2 linked regions of the Schizosaccharomyces pombe genome follow. Changing the gene in region 1 together with any one later gene gives a genetic interaction. Each region holds a gene or a part of one and is shown on either strand. Other genes may lie near its edges. The genes, in order: SPOM_SPAC5D6.04 and gcn20.

What was found.
Region 2: mutations in SPOM_SPAC5D6.04 (region 1) and gcn20 together harm fitness more than expected from each alone (negative genetic interaction), as found in Schizosaccharomyces pombe (one large-scale study listed by BioGRID).

The regions. Positions count from the first base shown.
Region 1 is NC_003424.3:1,504,588-1,509,302, forward strand, and holds SPOM_SPAC5D6.04 (auxin family transmembrane transporter), read right to left. Parts: upstream 2,989-4,715; 5' UTR 2,585-2,988; coding exon 2,441-2,584; exon of another isoform or gene 2,312-2,440; coding exon 2,181-2,311; exon of another isoform or gene 2,145-2,180; coding exon 2,054-2,144; exon of another isoform or gene 1,997-2,053; coding exon 1,004-1,996; 3' UTR 501-1,003; downstream 1-500. Other genes in the region: mediator complex subunit Med18, read right to left, coding at 25-151.
Region 2 is NC_003423.3:2,050,438-2,067,745, forward strand, and holds gcn20 (AAA family ATPase Gcn20), read right to left. Parts: upstream 6,006-17,308; 5' UTR 5,988-6,005; coding exon 3,777-5,987; 3' UTR 3,704-3,776; downstream 1-3,703. Other genes in the region: sap14 (Pre-mRNA branch site p14-like protein), read right to left, coding at 15-258; atp14 (F1-ATPase subunit H), read right to left, coding at 6,661-6,684, 6,731-6,921, 6,974-7,009, 7,058-7,103, 7,151-7,165; ort1 (carboxylic acid transporter), read right to left, coding at 7,826-8,719; rps902 (40S ribosomal protein uS4), read left to right, coding at 9,355-9,933; PWWP domain protein Pdp1, read right to left, coding at 10,666-11,745; telomerase reverse transcriptase 1 protein Trt1, read right to left, coding at 12,035-12,197, 12,240-12,336, 12,380-12,546, 12,586-12,835, 12,873-13,086, 13,128-13,276, 13,323-13,507, 13,549-13,718 and 8 more; rsm23 (mitochondrial 37S ribosomal protein mS29), read right to left, coding at 16,071-17,308.

The sequences.
Region 1 (4,715 bases):
ACATATGCATTTTTCACGACATACCTTTAGGACGGTAAACTACCCAAAACTCCAATATTGTTTTCGGACCATCCAACGTTTTTGATAAAGAATTTACAACTGCTTCAAAACGCCTCGAGGGGACTACTCCTAAAAGATACAGTTCTTGCATAGCATCGCACCTCACCGAAATTGATTTCTTTTATCTCTTAAGCGTCTACTAAAGCTAAGCTACTGATGGTTGTAGAAATAGTGAACAAAATATACAATGCAATGTCAGTAGTAAGGGAAAATTGCTGTTGGAAGCCTAATGAGCAGTGTTTTCAACGCGGTGTAGTTAGCTATGTAACGAACGACCTTAACGATGAAAGAATGAGAATCATTATGAATCGCCATTATGGAACATAGTATTGATCCAATATTTCTTTCACATTTTCTTCGAATTGATACTATTATTGCTTTATTTCCTTTAATAATATTGAGCGCCGTGTTACTTGATTCTTGATTAAATAATCAAACTATAATAGTAAAACAATTCGGTCAACTAATATTTATACCAACATATTTGATTTTTGGGACGTTGTGGTAAACGCCGCATAAAATAAACTTTATATTAGAAAGACGATATAACTTAAGTTGCTATCGAGGTCCAACAAAGCTGAACACTTCAATAACGAATCATTATGAACATGATATCCAAACATTATAGAAATTGAAAATGGAAAGTGATTTCTTATGCATTGTATAAGAGCAAACAGAGTTTAAAAAGAAAACAATAAAAGATTAAAAAAAACTATTTAGCGGTATTAATAATACCAGTTAAACCAATAAAAACATATTAAATGTGAGCTTTTCGAAATGGAAAAAGACCGCCAGGTTAATCAATATCGAGTCACTACGTTTGACCAATTGACTATGTTAAATTAATGTGATAAGTAAACTTTCCGTGTGCTCTCAATTGTTAAAGTATACGCAGAAAACGATATTGTAAAACAAAAATCATCAGACGTTAACGATTTTAACTTTATTTTGTCCATTTCACAACTAAAAGACTAGCAAAGGCTAGCAACAACGAATTAGGAGGAGTAAAGACGGCATAAGACCACCATAAAACTTTGGCACACTCGCGTTCAAATACACCATTCAGTTGGCAGATTTGTGTTAATTGAATGGCGGTTGGGCTTCCCACAAGCAAGAAAATAACAACAACAAAAACAGGATCATCAACAGTACTTATTTCACTGAAGTATGAGAGTAAACTGAAAGCGGGTAATAATGCCAGAGGAACAACTACCATACGGCCAAGAAGACACACAATAATTACTCGAGTATCGTTATTTTTACGGACTTCTTGAGTAGGTTCAGTTTTGGAAATATCAGTAGCAAGACTTGCTCCCAAAACTACCAAAATCATAGGAACAGCAACTTGACCAGCCATTCGAATACCACTGGTGATGCTACCTTCAACGAACGAACCTTCTTCGAAGAAAAAGCGTTGCAGAGGAGGAACAACAGCAATAAATAAGGCGATAAATAAGGAGTATAAAGGAGGGCTGAAGAAATCTAACAGTAAAACAATAAACTTCGAGATCTTCGAAGAGGCTGCTCCAAACCCACCAACTTCTTCGTTAGAGGTTTCAACTTGAACGTTGTCATTTTTGGAAATCGCAGAAGAATCAGTTTGAACAGTTGAGCCCTCATTTGCCTGAACAGAATTTTGAACCCCATCTACATTTGCACTAGAAGCCAACAAATTCTGAATTTCTTCTTCATTAACATCGCTATGTGACCAAGAACGGTTACCGATAGGTAGAGGGTCCTCCGGTTGATTCGGAGAAAGGAGAATACGATAACCATAGGACCAACGAAGAGCTTGACCTAACTGAGAGAAAATAAGCAAATACATAATACCGCGTGAAGCAACCTTATCAGGTGTATCATCGGGAATTTTGTCCCATAGCAAATCCTTTACAGTAGTAGCTAAAGAAGATACCAAGGCCAAAGGTAAGGAATTTGACTAAAGAGTTAGTAAACAAAAACAAACGAACAATATTCTTGCAGGTAAGGTACGTACGTTTTGAAACGTTATGCAGGCAGTGGCGAAATTCCTTTGGCGAGGTGTCAGTCGGAAGAGTTTTGCAAGTAAAAATGATATCAGAATAGAACTGAAAGTTAGCAAAGTGAATGACTTAAATACTTACGCTGCGGAGATGATAACATAAAACACGGGTAAAAGAGAAAGATCAATCAGCATCTTCAAATTCAAACCGTTGCCAACTTTTTCAAATACTAGACAAGGAGTAAAGAAATAAACGTTCAGGCTGGATATTACCTGTGTAAAGTTAGTAAAATACTAGAGAACGCAAAGATAAATGAAGAGAAGAAATTTAATAGTTGAAAATTTATTTCTTTATTTCACTGCTCCATTTTTCTTTAAAACGGGGGGTAAAATGAATCATACCTTCTGAGCATCTCTAGGAAGAAAGCCTTTTTTAGCTAATACATAACCACCCAAAGCGATCACAATAACTTCCAAGTCACTTTCGATAATGGGCCTTAGAAGGCTCCAAACATTAATTTGGCCAAGAGAAGAAAAGAATCCCATAATTTTTCACTAAATGACGGATAAAAAGATTGAATCCTTAAGAAAACTTTTTCACTAGTTAAACCGAATTCCACACAACAACAGGAATCAAATCAAGGAAAAGCAAAAAAAAAAAGAAAAAACCAATAAGGTCGATCAACAGTGAAACCGGTTAAAGTATAACAAGAAAAAAAAGTATTTCCTATAAATAATAGGATAAGATTATTATGCGGTCTATCAACAAAAGCTTCTCAAAAAACAGGAATAAGGAGTAATCACTCTAAAAGTAAATTGATCAAAATGTTCCCAACAAAAGTCAATTCAAATGCCAGAAATTTTCAATCGTCAAAGTCTTTTCTCTGCAAACAGCAGAATGAAAAGGGTAGGTTAAGCTGAAAGGCCTGTTTGTTTTCAAGGTATAGGTTAGAACGACAAAAATTCAAAGCCTCAAAGTCAGTAAACCGCGTGGAGAAACATTGTTACTTAGAATGGCAAACTGACGCATGAAACTGATAGGTAAAAAAAAGATACACAGAAACAATTATTGAGGCTTTATGAAATACTTTCTTTACAAATTAGGGAAAAATAAGATGCTTGTAAGGAGAAATGAAAGAAGAATTCGGCCAATCCATAAATGATCTCTATAACGTAATCAGACTTAGATTTCGTTGTTTTAGGATTTTTAATATTTACGGCAGATCAATTAAAAAAATTACATTAATTTCGAACACCTTCAAGTTTCTCAAAATAAAAAATGAATGTTGATTGATTTTAGTATGGTCGAAAAAAAAAGGGATATACCTACCTGACACTTATTATAGAATCCGTTGAGTCAACTTGTATTCCATTATGAAATTTCTTTTTTATTCGTAACATAATGGTGTTTGTTAAAAATAATATAAAATATTTTAACGTAACGCTATAATTATAAGTTGTGGATAGCAAGGAATTGATACCAATGATAGTATTGTCGAGGATTCACTGTCAAACCATTTTATTTTCTGTTGTTGTAGAAAAATTTAATTGTCCTTAAATTTTCGATCAAACTCGAAAAACTTTTGTTGAAGCTGTACTAAACATCAGATTGGTTTGTGCATGATTGCATTCATTACCGCATAGGTTCGGTTGTGAAATAGCTAAAGCGTTAAATAGCAGAACAATCGTACACAACTTTGTGTAACTTAAATGTGAGTTTTAGCAGAAGATAGCTAGTTTTTATACATTTTCTGCTTTATTGGTTTTGTTTTCTTTATGTCTTCCTTGCAATTTTCTGTTTGTTTTCGAAACATCTGCCGAAGCTCTAACTTTTGCACCTACTGCTCCCAACAATTTTTGCCATCTTTACCAGGTCACATGTTCCTTGCGATGTGGACAGGTTCAATGAAGGTTGGAAGTTTGAAAGCATGTTTGAACATTATAGAAGTATAGACTGGATTCAAAGGGACGAGATTTTATATACAGTAGCAATATTTTAATATGTAACACCGTTTTTCCTGGTTATTTTTATCAAGAGCTTATTGTGTTTGCATGTAAAGATGTATACAGAAGTCCGTAGATAAATTAATACAGTGTTCTATTGTTATGCTTAATTAATTGCTTCCCAAGTATTAAAAATCCTTTGAGAGGTTCCTCTTTTTATCAGTCACGTAACAATTTACGTTAAACCTTCAGTTCTTCATTTGTAGTAAATATTTAATTACAAAAATGGTGAAATTTTTTTAACAATTCTCATGTCGTTAATCAATGAAATGCTTGACAAACAAAATCAGCCAAAAGAAGTGAAATAACTCTGTAGTTAGTAGAATCATAGCACTTAGTCTTGAGAGTTATTATCAATAAATTTTTTATCATATAAATTAAAAAAAAGAAAAGCATGAGGTTTTATTAGTGAGTACAAAAAATTTAACTAATATCAATCAGTTTCTATATTATTTCTTTCCAATTTTTATTTTATTTATTTATTTTTTTTAACTTCACTGCATCCTTACTGTATTGTTAATTACTCCTTTCTTGTTGAAAATAAACGGAAGTAACTGCAGTCATATAAAATTTTGAAGCGATATTTTGCAAGGAAATTTGACGCATCATTAATGGGGAACAATTTTTTTGTCAATTAAATCTATTTACTTTTTTTTTTTTTATTTAAAGCAAG
Region 2 (17,308 bases), on another chromosome or scaffold:
CTAAGATAACGTACCAACCAAGTATCTATCCATGAAGTTGTAGCCAGAAAGCTTTTCGCAAGCTCGACGAGCGTCTTGAACGTTTTCATAAACCACAAATGCAGTACCTCTTGTTTGAACCGTATTCCCCAGCCTTATTTGTCGTACAGGACCATACCTACCAAAAAGATCGTACATCTCTTCTGCTGTAATTTTAAAAGACAAGTTCTTGATGAATAGGATAGAATTGACTTCTTGATTAACTGTAGATGGAGGCATTTGTTATTTTTACGATCTTAACACTTTTTGTTAAAAAAATCAAATTTCGAAAAGAAATGATTTGGTTTGCTTTGGAAAGGATAAATATTCCTAAAAGGTTGGTTGGGATCAGATGGAAAATACTCGTTATCACAGCTTGGAGATTGATGTTGTATAGTCAATCCTATACGTGAGTTTAATTATAGTAGAAAAGATTGAGACATGAATATTAAAGGTTACGTTTCGTGGTTTGGACAAGAAGAGGTATATGCTGGGAAATCGAATGGACCAACAGATCGTAGACAAAACGGTTCAACCTTTTACCAAAATTTTCCTCTTCTTTTACCTGGTAACTCCAAATGTCAAATGCAATCCTTAGTTCATGAGATCTTTGATCAGAGTTGAAACTGACATGGCGGTGATTTCAATAGAGAGTCAATTTAAAGTGATTTTCAAATTATACATAACTAGTTGAAAATCATAAACATTTTTATTGGTATTTTTTGCTTCCTCGTTTGTCTATCCTACAGGAAATAGGTTTCAACTTTAAAACTGACAATTGCAAAGAATAGTTTGATAGTATAGTTGTATCATCAATTTATATTTTTCCTTATTTCTTTACTTTCTTTTAACTTATACTCTTGTTTGGCAATGGGACTTTTATCAAGGAAACAATTTGGTATCATTGATCTTTTGCCTACAGACCAACTAGTTCATCAATTTCTTCTCAAGTTCTTTTGAAATTTCTTAAATTTTTTATTTCCTGATCCCAGAAAACTACATCTGCAAAATTAATGATTCATTTTACGCTTCCAATGCCATGCTTTCGTATATAAGTGATAGCAACAGAGACACTAAAGGGAAAGGATAGCTTTGTTGAATATGTGGATCTTACTGTACTTCATTTTATCTAATTTGAAAGATTTCTCATTGCTCTTTGCTTACAACTGCTCTTAATTGAGAATGTGCTGCATTGCAAATGCTGTTTTGAAGCAATTTAGGAAATTACAGAAAAAAGAAACTATAGTAGCGTTTACAATTTCGAAAACTATACTAATAATTTTAACTAATGAAGCTAGCTATATTCATTATGATAAGCAGGAACTAAGTATTTAAAAAAGTAAATAATGTTGTACAAAAACGAAATAAACCAACTAACGTTAAAGTACGAAATTAATTGACTCATCTATAACCGTTCTTTATTTTTTTTATTTTTTCAATGAATAAAGCTATTGGCATTGATTGCTAATCTGGTTTGATATATGATATACATATTTTTCTTTTTGAAGTATTGAACAATTCTTTTTACGCTTCTAGTAGATTAATTACCATTTACTCTTTTTTTAAAAAAAATAAATAAATAAATAAATAAATAAAATTTTGTATATTCAAGTGGTTTCTGCTCATTAGCCTAATTCGCAAATAACTCTAGTTTAACATAAAATTTAACTTGACGAAATGCGAAAAATGTCTTGTACGACAAAATTTCAAGAGTTAGGATTGAGAGAAGAATTAAAAAACAATAGAACAATAAAACTATTGCACGTAACCCCTAAAACTTGTTGAAATTGGCAATGTTGATTAAATACCTATATCTGAATTAATTTACGAGAGAAAAAAACCTAAACGAAAGATTAATAAAAGCGCATATTTAAGGAAAAATTTTTCTATGAATAATTTCTCTTTTCATCCATTAATCGCCTTCTTGACCCATTTCTTCTCTTGTATTTACATTTTCATCTTAAGTAACACGTCACCTACATCAAGCATCCAGGTAGTCATCGTGGCAAGCATGAATTTGCTCTTTCCCCATATTCGCTACTGAGGTGTGCAGCCCTTCCGCGGCGTCATTGGAACTTCCACTGGGCCGGAAAGGCAAGAAGGATAATTACGGTTTTTAACGTTGAATACGCAAATATTTATAACGAAACGGTGGTTGAGAACTCGTAAATTGAATGAAGAAAATTTGATAAAGGTCGATAAATTTATTTAGCGATAATTTAACGATTTTACCGAGTTAACAAATTAAAGATTTTAATTATTTTTTAATATATTTGTATAAGTGAACAAATAGGTTTGCTTCGCCGTCTTTTTCAACTTGTCGGAAACAAACAATTATCTGGAATTTTTTTTTACTCGCACTTAGATTCTCCGCGTTTTATACGCATATACTAACAAGGAAAGGAATTTAGCTAATCGATAGATTCTGGACCTTTCCTTCTTTGAAACACATTTTCCCCCGTTGAATTGGTTTTGTTTACATTCAAATAAGGTAAAAGCACTCTTCCAATTGAAGACTATAGAGCTCTAATTCGATCGTTTTCTTTGAAATTTTTAAAAATTACTATCATATGAGCGATGTATTCTTTAAAAGATTTGTGCATCCAAGTCGCGCAGAAGCATGTGCACGACATCGATGATATTGGCGATTGCCCATTCGAACTCGTAAAACCTATCCTGGAAAAAGCTAGACCAGAACATTTAATAGACTTGGAAGAAAAGTCGCCTCATTTGAAAGTTGACACTCAACCATTGTGGAAAGATCACGTTTTGCGTGATTTTGGATTAGAACTTCAAAAACGAACTATATTGAACAATATTGATGATTGGAGAGGGCTCTACGGAAAACTTAAGAAAAAAAGAAATGCTCATTATAACGTTGCTTCTGCTAAGCTTCGAAGTGCTTACACCAAGCTAGAGCAAAGTAAACAAAACAAGCGAATTGTTCCTTTAGAGCGTGAGCCTAGAGCTGCTCGGCCTCCTAAGCGTCCGCGTCCCATGAGTAATTATTGTCCAAAAAGTTCTCTAATGGCGAGAGCTAAAAGTGATTTTCTCAAAAAGGCTCTGCTACCCGTCATATTGTTTCAGCTACTTCATCCTCTCGGAGCTTTCCCCAATTGCATCCCCTTGGACGTTCTTCTTCTAACGCTACTAATACTTCTACAAAGCGTCCTTTAACCTCTAATACCTATCCGTCCATTCCTCTTCCTCCAAAGTCTTTCACCTCTCAGAATTTTAAATCGTTCAACGCCGTCAAAACTCAACCTTCATCTTCCTCCTCTCCATCAATCTCTCGCCCTACGTCTTTTCCCATGTCCTTTTTTCCAAATCCTTCGAGGTTTTCTAGTCAAGTTCCTAAACGAATTTAATGAGTTAACTTTTTCCTTTCTCTTTCTTTTTTTGTTTACTAGTCTGTATATTCTTTTTTTTTCTGCTATTGATTTCCTTGGTCCGCCTTATTTTCTCCTCTTCTCCCCTTCCTCCTCTTTACTTTTTAATTGATTGGGTTTGTTCTCTTTATTTTTTGGGTGTTGGTTGATGATTTGCATGCTTTCCAGGTTTCTTGTCCATTACCGTGTTATGACTTACTTAGCTATAATTAATTTACTGTTTTAATCTTATTTAACACTTCATGTCTTTTACTGTATAAAATGTAGTTAACTTCGTTTACATATTTTATCCAGATTCATAGATAAAAGAATTTGATTTTATTTATCCTCGCCAGCTATATTATTATTATTTAAGTCTATGCTATTCCATTAAGTTTTTATAGTCATGGTTGGCTGTTGAGATAGACAGAATTTCTTATATTGTGAAATTGTTCCATCAAACTTGGAGACGACATTATGGTCACACTGCCAAATACTGGTACATGTCTTGTCCAAGAAATCAACATCGTGAGAAACAAGAATCACACCACCTTGGAAGCGTTTAACAGCTCTTGTCAAGGCATCCATGGACTCCATATCCAGATGGTTGGTGGGTTCATCTAGAATAAGAATGTGAGGGTTTTGTAGACCTAGGCATGCGAACGCAACACGAGATTTCTGACCACCAGAAAGCGTGATCATTTTTTGCAATGCAAGAGGTCCACTAACACCAAAAGCGCCAAGATGACGACGGTATTCTTCTTCACCTTTGCCAGGAAATGTCTTAGCTAAAAAGCTTAAGGCATTCAAGTTTAAGTCCAAAGTATCGACATGATGTTGTGCAAAGTATGCAATACGAAGTCGGGGGTGCCGACTAACTATACCAGATGTTGGATGAAGTTGTTCGATAAGAAGCTTAAGCATTGTTGATTTACCAGCACCGTTGGGACCAACCACACCGATACGAGAATCCATTTGAACATCAATATCAACATGTTTGAGAATAGGGTGACCTGGAACATACTCAAAATTGACATCAGACATTTGTAAGATAGGAGGAGATATTTTTTCCACAGGTGGAAATTCAAACTCAACTTCTTCCTCAGTTTGAGGCTTTTCAAGGATCGGCAGTTTTTCCAACTTCTTAATACGACTTTGTGCTTCGGATGATTTGGCAGCATTATAACGAAATTTGTCAATGAATGATTGCAAATGTTTGCGGTATTCCATTTGCTTTTCATATTCACGAAGTTGATTTTTGCAACGTTCTTCACGAGTAGCATAGAATTGACTAAAATTACCCTTATAGTAATCCAAGCGCTCAGAGTGTTGATGAATAATATCAGTAGCAACTTCATTCAAGAAAGAACGATCGTGTGAAACGACTAAAACGATATTTTTATAAGTTTGTAAATATTCAGATAAGAAAGCAATTGAGGGAACGTCAAGCATGTTCGAAGGTTCATCCAAAAGTAGTAAATCTGGTTGACAAAACAGAGCACGTGCCAATGACAAACGCATACGCCAACCACCTGAAAAAGTCTTGGTAGCATGGCTTTGCATTTCTTGAGTAAATCCAAGACCAGCTAAAATAGTAGCAGCGCGTGATTCTGCTCTATCAGAGTCCATCTCGGAAAGCTTATTTTGAATATCTAACAACCGTAAATCAAGTTCGTCTCGTTCACGCTCAAGGCGACGGGAAATAGCTTGATCAGCAGTTTGGTCTTTACTAAGTTCTTCCAATTCTTTTTCAATCGTTGATAGACGATTAGTTATCTTTTCCTGGTCCTGAATCAAATACTTGCGCCAAACATCGGCATCCAAAACTGACTGTAGGGCAGGTGTATCATCACCTGTCATTTCTTGCTCAACATGAAGAATGGTAATATGGGTAGGAATCGCAATTTCACGGCGAGAAAGAGCACGTAGAAGAGTAGATTTACCGATACCGTTGCGACCAGTTAAACCGTATCGTCTACCCTGTGCAAGTGTCAACGAAGCACCAGTCAATATACGATGACCAGCAAAAGCAAGATCAATTCCATCAATTTTAATATCTTTCGATTTTCCTTGGTTACTTCCGGATAAATCTAGAGGATTTACAGCCATGTAAAACTCTTCATAAGACTTTTGTTCGGGTTGAACCAACTTTGAAGATTCGTATTCTGCTTTGATAGTACGTTTCTCCCATTTGGCACGAATCTTCCGTTCAGCCTTCTCTAATTTTCTTCTATCTACCCTAGATTCAACCTTACGGCCCTTTACAGCATCTAATTCCATCTTTTCGCCAACCAAACCCATAGTTGACGAAATTTCGGATTGGGAATCCATTCGAATAGTCTCCTTCAAACGAACAAGTCCATTCGTTTGTAATGTATCTAGATGTTCCTCTCTTTCTTTAAATTGTTTCTCTAGTTCGTTTTGTATGAGCTGTACCGCTTCCTCACGAGCGCCAGCATCTAGCAATAAATTACGAATGAGAGAGATCGTATGGTCTGAAGCCTCATCTACATCTTTAATAGCATCATTAGCATATCCAGTGCAGTAGCTGAGGACATGAGGGTCTACTTCAGAGCAATTATTCTGAATGACTTGCTCCATGTTGGATGTGAGGTGGATAGTACTAAGCAAGTTATACTACTGCTATATATGAAGCCTCAATCGGCAAAACGATGAGACTAGGCATGAAAATATACTAAATACCTTATAATAGTGAATTATATATTTTTTTAAGAAAAAAAATTACAATTCCAAGAAAACTACTGTGAACTTTACTGATATTTTTAATGACCCACAGTAGACATCAAATTTTATCAAGCTAATCCTTATTGTTGAATAAAAGCAATTGTATTGAGTTGATATAAATTGAAAAAAAAAATCCAAATGTGAACTCAATAGAAATACTTTGCAAAGAGAAAAACATCTCAACTCAATGAAAGTGGTTTTCTATCAATCAAGGCAACAACTGTTTCGTGCCGTAATCGAAGAGACGACTAAGCATTGAATTCAGCTATGTTCAAAGACATTTAGAAAGCAGAAAAAGGATACGTTAACCTAGAATATAAATCATAGTGAGACGGGAGTTATAGAGATACATCCACGTTCGTGGTCAATCAAAAGAAGGATCAGACAAAGGCATGAAATAGATATAAAATCAAATCTCAACGACGTAGATGAAAATGTAAATTCATAATCGGAAAATAAAAGGCAAAATTTAATCAAAGTTAATTACCAAACATCTTCCAATTGAGCATAGGAAAAGCAGTGAATAAATTTAATGTTCTTTTTCATTCTCATACTGAAGGAAAAGTTAGCTGATGCAATGTAAAGGAAGAGATACATACTGATTCAAGAAAGTCAAATTTGTTGCTTTCTCCAGCAGCCTTAGTGGGAATGGTTTCTCCCTCATACTTGTAAGAGTTTAAAGCAGAAGTAAAGTCAACATCGTATTTTGGAGCAGTAGGAGCGCTAGGCATGGACCATTCCTTTACTTCAGCTGCCGTTTCGGAAGGGACAGCTTTAGGCTTATATGATTCTAAGACACGACGTGTAAGAAATTGGTAAATTAAGAGAATATAATAACATACTTAAAGAAGAAATATATAAACCCTGTACTACATCGACTAAATTGCCATTAGTAATCTCATCAAAATCAAAATGTCATTTCATACCGTAAAGACGAGGGGAGGTGGTCGAATAACTACGACTTAGTGATTTCTATATATTAGCTCCTAAATTCTTAAAAAAAGCAATGTATAACGTACCAAAATTCGAGACATTGTTCTTCCTTCACAATATATGTGGATGGTAGTGGTAACTCACTTAGGTAGCATGTATTGAGTAAGAAAGCCAGCATTGTCCGAAAGTACATTAAACATACTAAATCTAATAGCTAAAGTTTTAAATGCCCAAATAAACAATCGCTGAAATAGAAGGACTATTAGTCTCAAAAATTTCATCCAATTTACACCTCTACCAAAAATCTACAAAACAAAATTCAACTATACAAGAAAAAAAAGCGTAGGTACATACAGATATTGAAAGAGTTGGATTAACCAAAACAGGACGTAAAAAGCAAAACAAAACAAAAAAAAACAGGGAAAAGAGGAAAAGAAAATATACTTTCAGATTGAAACGGTTAACTCGTGAAATGTATAACAAGTTCAGTGGAATTACTGTCAAACTAACAGCAGCACATGATATGAAAAGTGATGAGAGGGGAGTTTTTGAAGGTAAAAATGCTTTTAATAAAAAATAAATAGCATCAAAAAAATTGTAAAAGTATTCCATGGGACTTTAAATATATACGACAAAACCAGTTCTAAAATGTGATTAAACTTCAACCGCAAGTCGAATGCAAGTTAAAATATGTATAGAAATGCATTCCGACGGGTTATCGACTCAATGGACAACAAAGACTTCGTAAAACTAGAATAAAACTATTTGCTTAATACTTTAGTTTCCCGAAATAATTCAAAAAGCGTAAAATTGCAAGAATTTATAAGAGCGCTTCGCATCAATGAAATACCTATACCTCGATATATAGTAAACGATAACCAAGGAATGGAAGACAAAGGGGTTTTAATTGATAAGAGTGTATTTCTTTGTACAATGGATTTGGCTGTATCCACCGGGAATACCAAAATCCAAGACAAAGCGCCGCAAAAAGCACCAGAGAAGGCATAAGCAAAATGCGGCTTCACATCATTCGCTATCAGATTTTTCTTAAAGGTTTCGTATATTGTAAAATAACAAGCCGATCCTAGAGCGTCTCTGGTTAGATGATAACGATACCCATTCCATAATGCAGTAAATCCATACCTCCGAACAATGTCAGAAGCGCTCTGGAAAGATGACAAGGGAGGTCTGACACTTAGCTTGGAATTTGTCTCTTGCCGACGGCCCATATTTGTTTTGCGAAGAAGCATGTCAATTTGTGAATATAACTTTGAATACTCGAATGGACAAGCAAAAAGTGATATAAAAGTACCAGTCCCAAGCCCGGAAATGAAATACCGAAGTGTAGGATCCACATGAGCAAATGTAAGTTTTAAGGAATCATACACCGTAAATGATACTGACCTCGATAGAGTGGCTGATATCAATGGTAGAGTAAGACCACGATACAAACCTTTTAATCCCTCGTTTTTAACAGCGTTTTGGAAACAAGAGCGAATGGTTGGGAAATTGTAAGTTTGCTGTCGAACTTTAATCGAGTCAAGAGGATACCCAATAACATTGCTAATGGCAGAAGAAACCAGAGCAGCGGAAAAGGTAGATGCGGGAGAGCCCGAGTGTGCTTTATGGGGCTGGTTATGAACTGGTAAACCCATTTTTTGATCAATCCTTCAGAAATAAAATAGAGAGAAATGAGAGAAGAAAATAAAGATCAATATTCTAGCAAAAATAGATTTTTCGACTTATCTAAACAAATGAAGTAATCGAAATCCTCTTTCTTTATGTAAGTACGTATATGTACGTCTAAATTGTATGTATAGTCTAAAGTATTCAGAAGTTCACCACCCATGTAAGATGAACTACTAAAAAAAAACTTGTTTTTTATATTTTGAAACTCGAAAAAAAGTAAAATCGTCAATAATTATGATCAATTTCAGAGAAAAACCAAAAAAGAGACAGTAACAGCACAACACTCACAGGATTGTGCAATTAATATCTTCAAATAGAGTTTAATACGCACTCACAAGATACAGTGTATCCCTTACATATGTGATCTTCTATTTTAGAAAAAATAAACAACACCTTCTATTTACAAATCTAACTTCTGCTTTTCCTTCACAAGGATATAAGCTAGAGGGTTAGTAGGAATAGTGTGTAGTAAGGATATCGGTACGGGATGGTGATGGGACAAAACCCTAACCTAATACTACAGTATCTCAAAAAGCCGTCACTGTTGTGCCTTCTTGAAAATACATAGCAAAGGTAGGTTGCGCAAAGCACCAAACAAACAATGCCTTCTGCTCCTCGTAAGCAATCCAAGACTTACAAGGTTCCTCGTCGTCCCTTCGAGTCGGCCCGTCTAGATGCCGAGCTCAAGCTTGCTGGTGAATATGGTTTGAGAAATAAGCATGAAATTTGGCGTGTAGCACTTACCCTTTCTAAAATCCGTCGTGCTGCTCGTGAGCTTTTGACCCTTGACGAGAAGGATCCTAAGCGTCTTTTCGAGGGAAATGCCATCATTCGTCGTCTTGTTCGTTTGGGCATTTTGGATGAGTCCCGTATGAAGCTTGATTATGTGTTGGCTCTCCGTATCGAGGACTTTTTGGAGCGTCGTTTGCAAACTCAAGTCTTTAAGCTTGGTTTGGCTAAGTCCATCCATCATGCACGTGTGTTGATCTTCCAACGTCACATCCGTGTTGGTAAGCAAATTGTCAATGTTCCTTCCTTCGTTGTCCGTTTGGATGCCCAAAAGCATATCGACTTTGCTCTTTCCTCTCCATATGGTGGTGGTCGCCCTGGTCGCTGCAAGAGAAAGCGTCTCCGCTCTCAACAAGAGGGTGGTGAAGGTGAAGAAGCCGAAGAGGAGTAATTCTTTTCTTTGACTAGTAAAAATGAATCCTAATCTCTGAGTAGAAAATGAAATTCCTTTCTTGTGTATTTCACTAGTATATGTAGCTTATAATCTCAATGCATATGGTAACTGTTCTTTGTCGTACATTTTTTTTGAAGTCTACATCTTCGTATTAAATTAGCGCACTAAAGCCTTGTAGCGTTTTATAGATTTTTGAAGAATCCAATGCTTCGTAAAAATTGTGAAGACAGATAAACTGACTTAGGAGACAAAAAAAAAAGAATACGAAGATACTAAAGGTATAGTCGTATTGGATGAAATTGTAGTACTTAATTTTTGCTGCTTAAAGTTTTTGATATTTTTCGTTAATTAATATATAGACAAATAGAGGCAATTTTCTAAAGGCACGTGAATTAGAAATATATCTTGTAGGCCGCTTTCAAAAAAAAAAGGAACCATCAACTGAACAATGTATATTGCCAAAGAAATGTGAATTTTACCTTCTTGTGTGAATAGCCACAAATACTAATTTAACGTAAACTTAACTGCTAAAATACACTGTAAAAATTGTATCTAGATGATAACATTAAATTTAAACAACCGGCAAACTAGCGCTTCGCATCTTACTTAGAGTATTCATGATAACAACTTGCTTCCCACCGATCTGGTATGCAATACCGGTACTCCAAAGCATAAGTAAAAGGGTGTCGTGTGTAATAGGAAATCAGCTTCTATTGACGTTGAGAAACACTACATGCCTTTTATCGATGGTTCGTTTGGAAGAAACATAGCCCAACTGTAAAGCAAATTTTTACATTTCTGCCTAATATCATAAAGTTCGTCATTCTCTAAATGCTCCAAAAAAGCAATTCTCTTCAGGACCTTTGCCAATTTAGTAGAAGTAATCAATTCGTAGTTCAGGAACGGGATATCACTTATTGCGTTTAGATATTTACTGGCGTTATAAAAATCTTCTTCAACTATCAAATGATCCGGCGAAAGAAATGCTTTTTGTAGCTTATGGCGAAAAAAAAGTAGTCGCTGCATTAGTGCTTTCGTCTGGTCATTCAAAGGTGAGGAAGGAGATATACGGCCCCTCTCTTGCGGGTTTTTTAAAGGTTGCTTTCCTTTTCCTTTTGCTTCTCCCCTATGATCAAAATTACTTGAAAGTGGGTACCTTTGGTCACTTAACTGCGTAGAGCTACGAGAAGTCGAAGCGACAGTAGGACCATACATTTCAGAAATAGAAGTTATTGACATCAAGGATCCGCTGGAGATACTCTCCGCATCTGATTCATCAAGAGATGTCTCCCAATGATATTTTCTTTTTTGCAAAAAATTAGGCTTCTCCTCAGCAGCTGATAAGCTATCCATTTCCTCATCGGTGGAAGATTCCTCCTTTAAATCAGGAGGAGTTTTTGAAGCCTCATAAGCTTCAATAAGTTCTTTAGACTTCCGCTTTGAGGAACCAAGAAATTTGGCTATTTCGGAATCCAATAATGGCTTAACACTATTTCTTTTCACCCATGCAAAATTGAAGTCAGGAAAAAACAAAACCTTATATAAGACATTAAATGAGCTATTAGTATTCAAACTATCCTTAGTTTCTTTTCGTCTCAGTAGCAAGGCCGGCCACCATGGATAACCTGGGGCTTTTACCAAAATTCGGTCACCAAAATTTAGCCTGTCATCTGCAGAAGCTTGTTCCAAATTATCCTTGCTTTCTTCAACAACACTGGGTATATTACTCTCTTTTCCTTCGGATATGCTTAATCCCCCTTGTTTAGAAGATAATCTTCGTCTTTTTGCATTAGTGCGGGCATTATTCATTATAGAAAACCACTTTCCTTATTCTAAATGAAAGGAGATTAGCCTCATGTATTACTTTTAATGTTTAACCACTCCCGTTTAATGGGCATGTGGGCAGTAGTCAGCAACCACTGTCAATCTTTCTTAAAAGTATAAGGATAAAGACAAGTCAATCAAAACTAATAACGAGATTAATTTTACTTTACTAGAAATCCTATAGTATGCTTGCTTTGGGGGTCAGCTATACTTAGTAATAATATTGTTTAAGACACCAGTAATAAAGGATGTATATAATAAATTGAAAATGACATTAATCAGCTATTCTTCTATGTAAAAATAACACCTGTCGCAAAACTGGTCTTAGCGGCTTGATAAGATCAGTCAATGACTGAAATTGGTATATTAGCTGTTCGAAGCATGGATGATATTTGAAAGAGGGTTTCAAACCATCTCTCATTCCAAGACAAAAAAGCCTGATGTGTCAATATTGCTGAAGTCTCGAGACCGACACGTACCATTTGACTTCTGCAGAGGACAAGAAACGCCTACTCGTATATCCTAATATTTCGGCCAACTTTTTCCAAATTTTTCTTCCAATAACATTCAAAAGATCTAAGGTTAATTAATGACTTTTCTAGTTAAAATAAGTACTCACCCGTTATGAACATTCTTTGGGGAATAAATATATCCTTCATCCTTTTTAAGTATGCTTGTGCTCTCATACACATAGAGTATCCTAGCCTATATATATTGCAGCAAGAATTGAATTTTGAATTGTGGGTAATGTCAATAAATACTTGTGCAAAGGATGCAAGGCTCGATCTGATTATTTGTCAGCTATTATTCAGTTACACAGTATACCTTAGAATTTTGTAAAAAAAAGATTTCCCCATATGTTTCGTCAGCTCTACAGATGTAGAGTTAAATAAGGCTTCATCAATTTTAGGACATGCTAACAATGTATCAAGAGACCTCATGTTCACAGAGAAACCGAAGAATGGCATTCTTTTCTTGCTTTCATTAAAAAAAGTATTGTTTATTATCCCATTACTATTTTCAAAGTTTATTACTGTTTTCTCCAGGCTCGTAGAAAAATTGTGTTTCTCAAATCCTTCAACGGTTAGAACTTAGGAATGACAGCAACTCACCTCTTAAAGATAAATTCAAAAATTTTTTTGCATCCTTTTTATTAACTGTTATAAAGAGGAAATCGTCGACTACTCGTAACAACACTGATCCTTTCTTTTTCGTAAACGATAGGTATTCATCAATCAAATCTTCCATATAGAAATGACACAAAAAAGATGACAGAATTGAGCCCTGAGGGATACCAACTTTTTGAAGGTATTGAGAATTTCCTATCTAGTTTCATTAGTGTTATTACAATTCAACAATTGGTATACCTTAACAATGTGTCCAGAGAGATGTTCCTTGAGCATTTTAAAAATTTCAGAAGAACTTTTGGTCCAATAATCCACAAAATCAACAAACAAAGTATCTGATGTTTTCATAGAAAGTAACTGCACGACTTTTTCAAAAGGCACCATATCAACTAAAAAAGAATTTGTTAAAAAATTCCAATGAAAAAATAAACTTACAATAGGAAAACGCCTCACTAACAAAGTTTTTTGTAGCTCGGTCACTTGTTGCATGTATGGTTGCATACTTTCGAATTACAAATTCGGGATCCTTGAGTTTCTTTTTAACAATCCGAAACATCAAATCTTGCTTTATTCGATCATAACAGGATTTTATATCTATCCGTACAAAATACTTCTTACGCCTGCAAAATTAATAATGAGGAATCGCGCATTATATAATTACCCAAACATTCGGTGCTTAAGAAGATCCTTCTTAAAAGTAAGAAGCTTCATGTAAACCTCCAAGTTAAATGGAATACCACTACTTTCTTCATTGATTAAATGTTTCAGTATCGATGCCACAGGTCGTAAAGTTTGGTTCGTACTGACTAACATTTTTTTGTTTGAACCCATCTGCTAATAATAGATTAGAAGTAAAGTACATTGATGACCAAAAATTAATACCTTTATTAAGAATCTTTTTCTTAAATTCGTAATGAGACGAAAGGTATTCTTCTTAGGTAATAGACGAATAACTGCTGGAGGCAAAGTAGTTTTCTGAGTATCCATCCTAACATTGTTCTGAAAATATTAGCTTTTTGCAAAAAATACTTTAAAATACCTCGTTTATTTTTTCAAACGCTTCCATTTTCATTGATGTAATAAAGGGTCGGCACAAGAGTTTCCAAATATCTTTTCTAAAATAAACAGTTCGATTTCGTAAATCACTTGATTCAGTGATATAAAAAAAAGATTGTAAAATAGGTATTATAAACGAATTGTATAGCCAGTAGATGAATTCCGCAAATATTTGCTTGCGTTTCTCAAAATCACTTAAGCACATTTTCGCATTTGACCTTTTTCCAAGGACTAGCCATTCAATTTCTGAAATCTGATTGTTAATTAATGGTAAAAAAATTTGGCATATTACCTTTATGTTACTCATTAAATAATGTAAACTAAAAGACTCGTATCTCGATAATTTCAAGAAAGTTTCGAGGTCTGGTAAAATCGTTAGTGGTAATAAATTTTATACAATACCTTTTAATATTATCTCAAATATCCTTTGGTTACCCCAGATTAATTTAGGAAACACTCGAACAAGAATGGATCGAAGAAACGCAAACACCTGGTTCGGCTTTAAGGAATAACTAAGGATTTTTTCATCATCGTGGGTGTCAATATATGGGCAATAATGGTTGTAAACTTTTGATAGAGAAATACGATGGAGTCGCTTTGCTGTTTGTTCAATTAAAGGGTATACCTTTAGGAGACGTTTGGGCACAACTGTACTCTGTGATACCAGTGGAATCACTTTGTGCAATTGCTTCACTTGAAATGCGTTTATAAGTCCAAATTGCCTTGGAAAAATCCATTGAAGCCACATGTGTACTGTGTTCCGATCACAAATAGAGTGTAAGTTAAAATATAGATCTAAAATTAGTTATGAAGGATAACAGTATTAGTTACCTTGCTTAAACTTCTTATAGGATGACCTGTAAAAAATGCTAAACCTACTAATTGAAATGCTATTCCAGGAAACTTCTTTGCGGGCGCTTTTATTTTGAGTAATGGATGTTTCAATGGTTCGCTTTCTTTTTTTTGACACAGTTTCCTCAAACACATTATTTTTAAAAAGTGGTATGCCAGAAATCTGAAGGTAATTGTCATTTGGAAGAGCCTCAAAAATACTTCCTTTGGATAATAAGTAATGCATGGCATCACTGCCGATACTATACTTGTCAGTCTTGTTCAAAGTGCGCAACATCTTAACCGGTATTTACATTTCTAACAAAAGTTGCCAATTTTTTGACTCAAGTATAGATATAAGGTAATTAGGAAAAGTAGAAACGAGATCATTTTGTACTCCGTTTACATGCATGGCTCGAAAATCTTCATGATTCTTTATCGGTTAAATACAATCTCTTTGAAACAGTAATTGCAGGTAAATATTTCACAATTAGAATACCTTACCATGGAAAACCCTTTCATCAGTAGATTCCTTCGACGCTCAAAACTTTCATCGAACATCTGTTTTACAACATTCGCTATTAGCTGCCCATATATTAGCTATCCCGAATAGAAAAAAATCAAAACAAAAATATATATACCTCTGACTGTGAGCATTTTGGAGAAGAAAATTGAACACCTTCATCTGGCTTACTGTCGAAGCCGACTACAGTCGAATGAAGAAAAATAGAAAAGGACGTTTGTACATCGCTTCTCAAGCGTTCGCATATATTGCTATACGAGCTTGCCGGCGACCCTCTCAAAACAAGTTGTACATAATCATTTAAGGTACATAGGTATACATATTGATTCTCTAGAAAGCGAAGAATCCTGCTTTTGGGGGTATGGTGTTCGGTCATGCAAGTTACAAGTAACCATTAAGCATAACTATATATATGCAAAGTGTCCTACTGATCATAACGTTTTAAATAAATAGTGACCGCAAATATTGATTAATATTTATAATTATAGGATTTTTTTTATATAATGATAGCTAATAAATGTTTTGCAAAGTATCTTTAAACTAATAACATTACACGAGTAGAATCACCAATCTTTCTACTACTATCAATTATAAGCGAAACTAATTTAGATTATTCATTAGGGGGAATAGTGAAAAAGGTACGATTCCAGGAGTAAAACGGAAAAAAGCCTAATACGAGATGATACATATTTGGAACAACATGAGAATAGAAAATAGAAAAATAAAACCGCGTTAAAGGAGTTGTAGTGGATAGAAATTTTTGAATATCTCAATCATGCTAGACGTGTGCAAGCATCAAAAAACTTTCGCGGATTACCACCACTAAGGACATGATTTTGCAAATAATTATCAACCTTTTCAAGGCAAACGTTGGATGATACCAAATACTCCATCATGCGACGTGACTCATCTAAAGTGTAAGGCTCCATGTTAAGAATATGCACGGACTGTAATGAATCTAATATAGTCTCATCAGAAGATTTGTAAGGATTTCTGTGAGCTACTCCAAGAGCTATATCCAATGACGGGGTAGAAACACGCGGTTGGCTAGAAGTAGCAGCTAAAACAGTACCACGATTAAAAGTAAGCGAACCCGAAATATATTTGAAAAGTAAATTAATAAAGTAAAAGTCTTTAGGGGGAAGGAAGTTGTTCTTTTTGTCCTTATACTTGGTAACGACCGATAAAATAGAAATATTATCGATCACTAATAACACCTTCATATTGGAATTTGACTTGGTATTGTTATTGAGTTCTTGTAAAAATATTTCCAGAGATTTAGGAGCGTTCGAGGAAGCAATTAGCTTATGAAGAAAGGAAAGTAAATCGGTACCAGCAGGAATGCATTCGTTCTGAAGCAACTCATGACTTTCAAAGGTCTTTAGCTTCTTAAGTTTATCAGAATTAGTTTTCATAACAGAAGTTAGAAATCCCTTAATTAAATCTGGTTGCACCCACAACTTGAGTTGCTCATCATAACCATAACTACTCGTTGAATTTACCCATCCTTCGCAGTTATGGACTGGCAAGACTATAAAATTAGGTTGTGATAAGGCGAAAAGTTCAGCTTGTATGAGAGCAATACTTCTTCCTGAACCTGGAGCACCATCAAGAAGAAAACGTCCGTCCTTCGTACCCTGGTCTTTGGAGCGCTGCAGTACATTCACTAATTCAGTTGTAATTTTCCTGTGCAAAAGGGAAGCACTGGTAAAAAAGGAGAAACTTTTTTTTTGTTTTTCTAAAGCCCCAAATCCATTAAGTTTATTAAGCAATTCCTCGGGGATTTTAAACATCTTACCTTCAGACTTGCTGGACCAAGACATATGCGGATGAATTTCAGAGGGCTTCACCTCTTCTAAAGTATTTTCTCCTTCATTTAAGAGATGATCCAATACAACGCTACTATTGGGAATAGTCGTCGATTTCTCTACTGACGAAGTTGAGGGGGGAATTTCATTAATTCTTGGCGCTTCCGAATTTTTTTGACGCTGCTGGTTAGAGCTTGAATGTA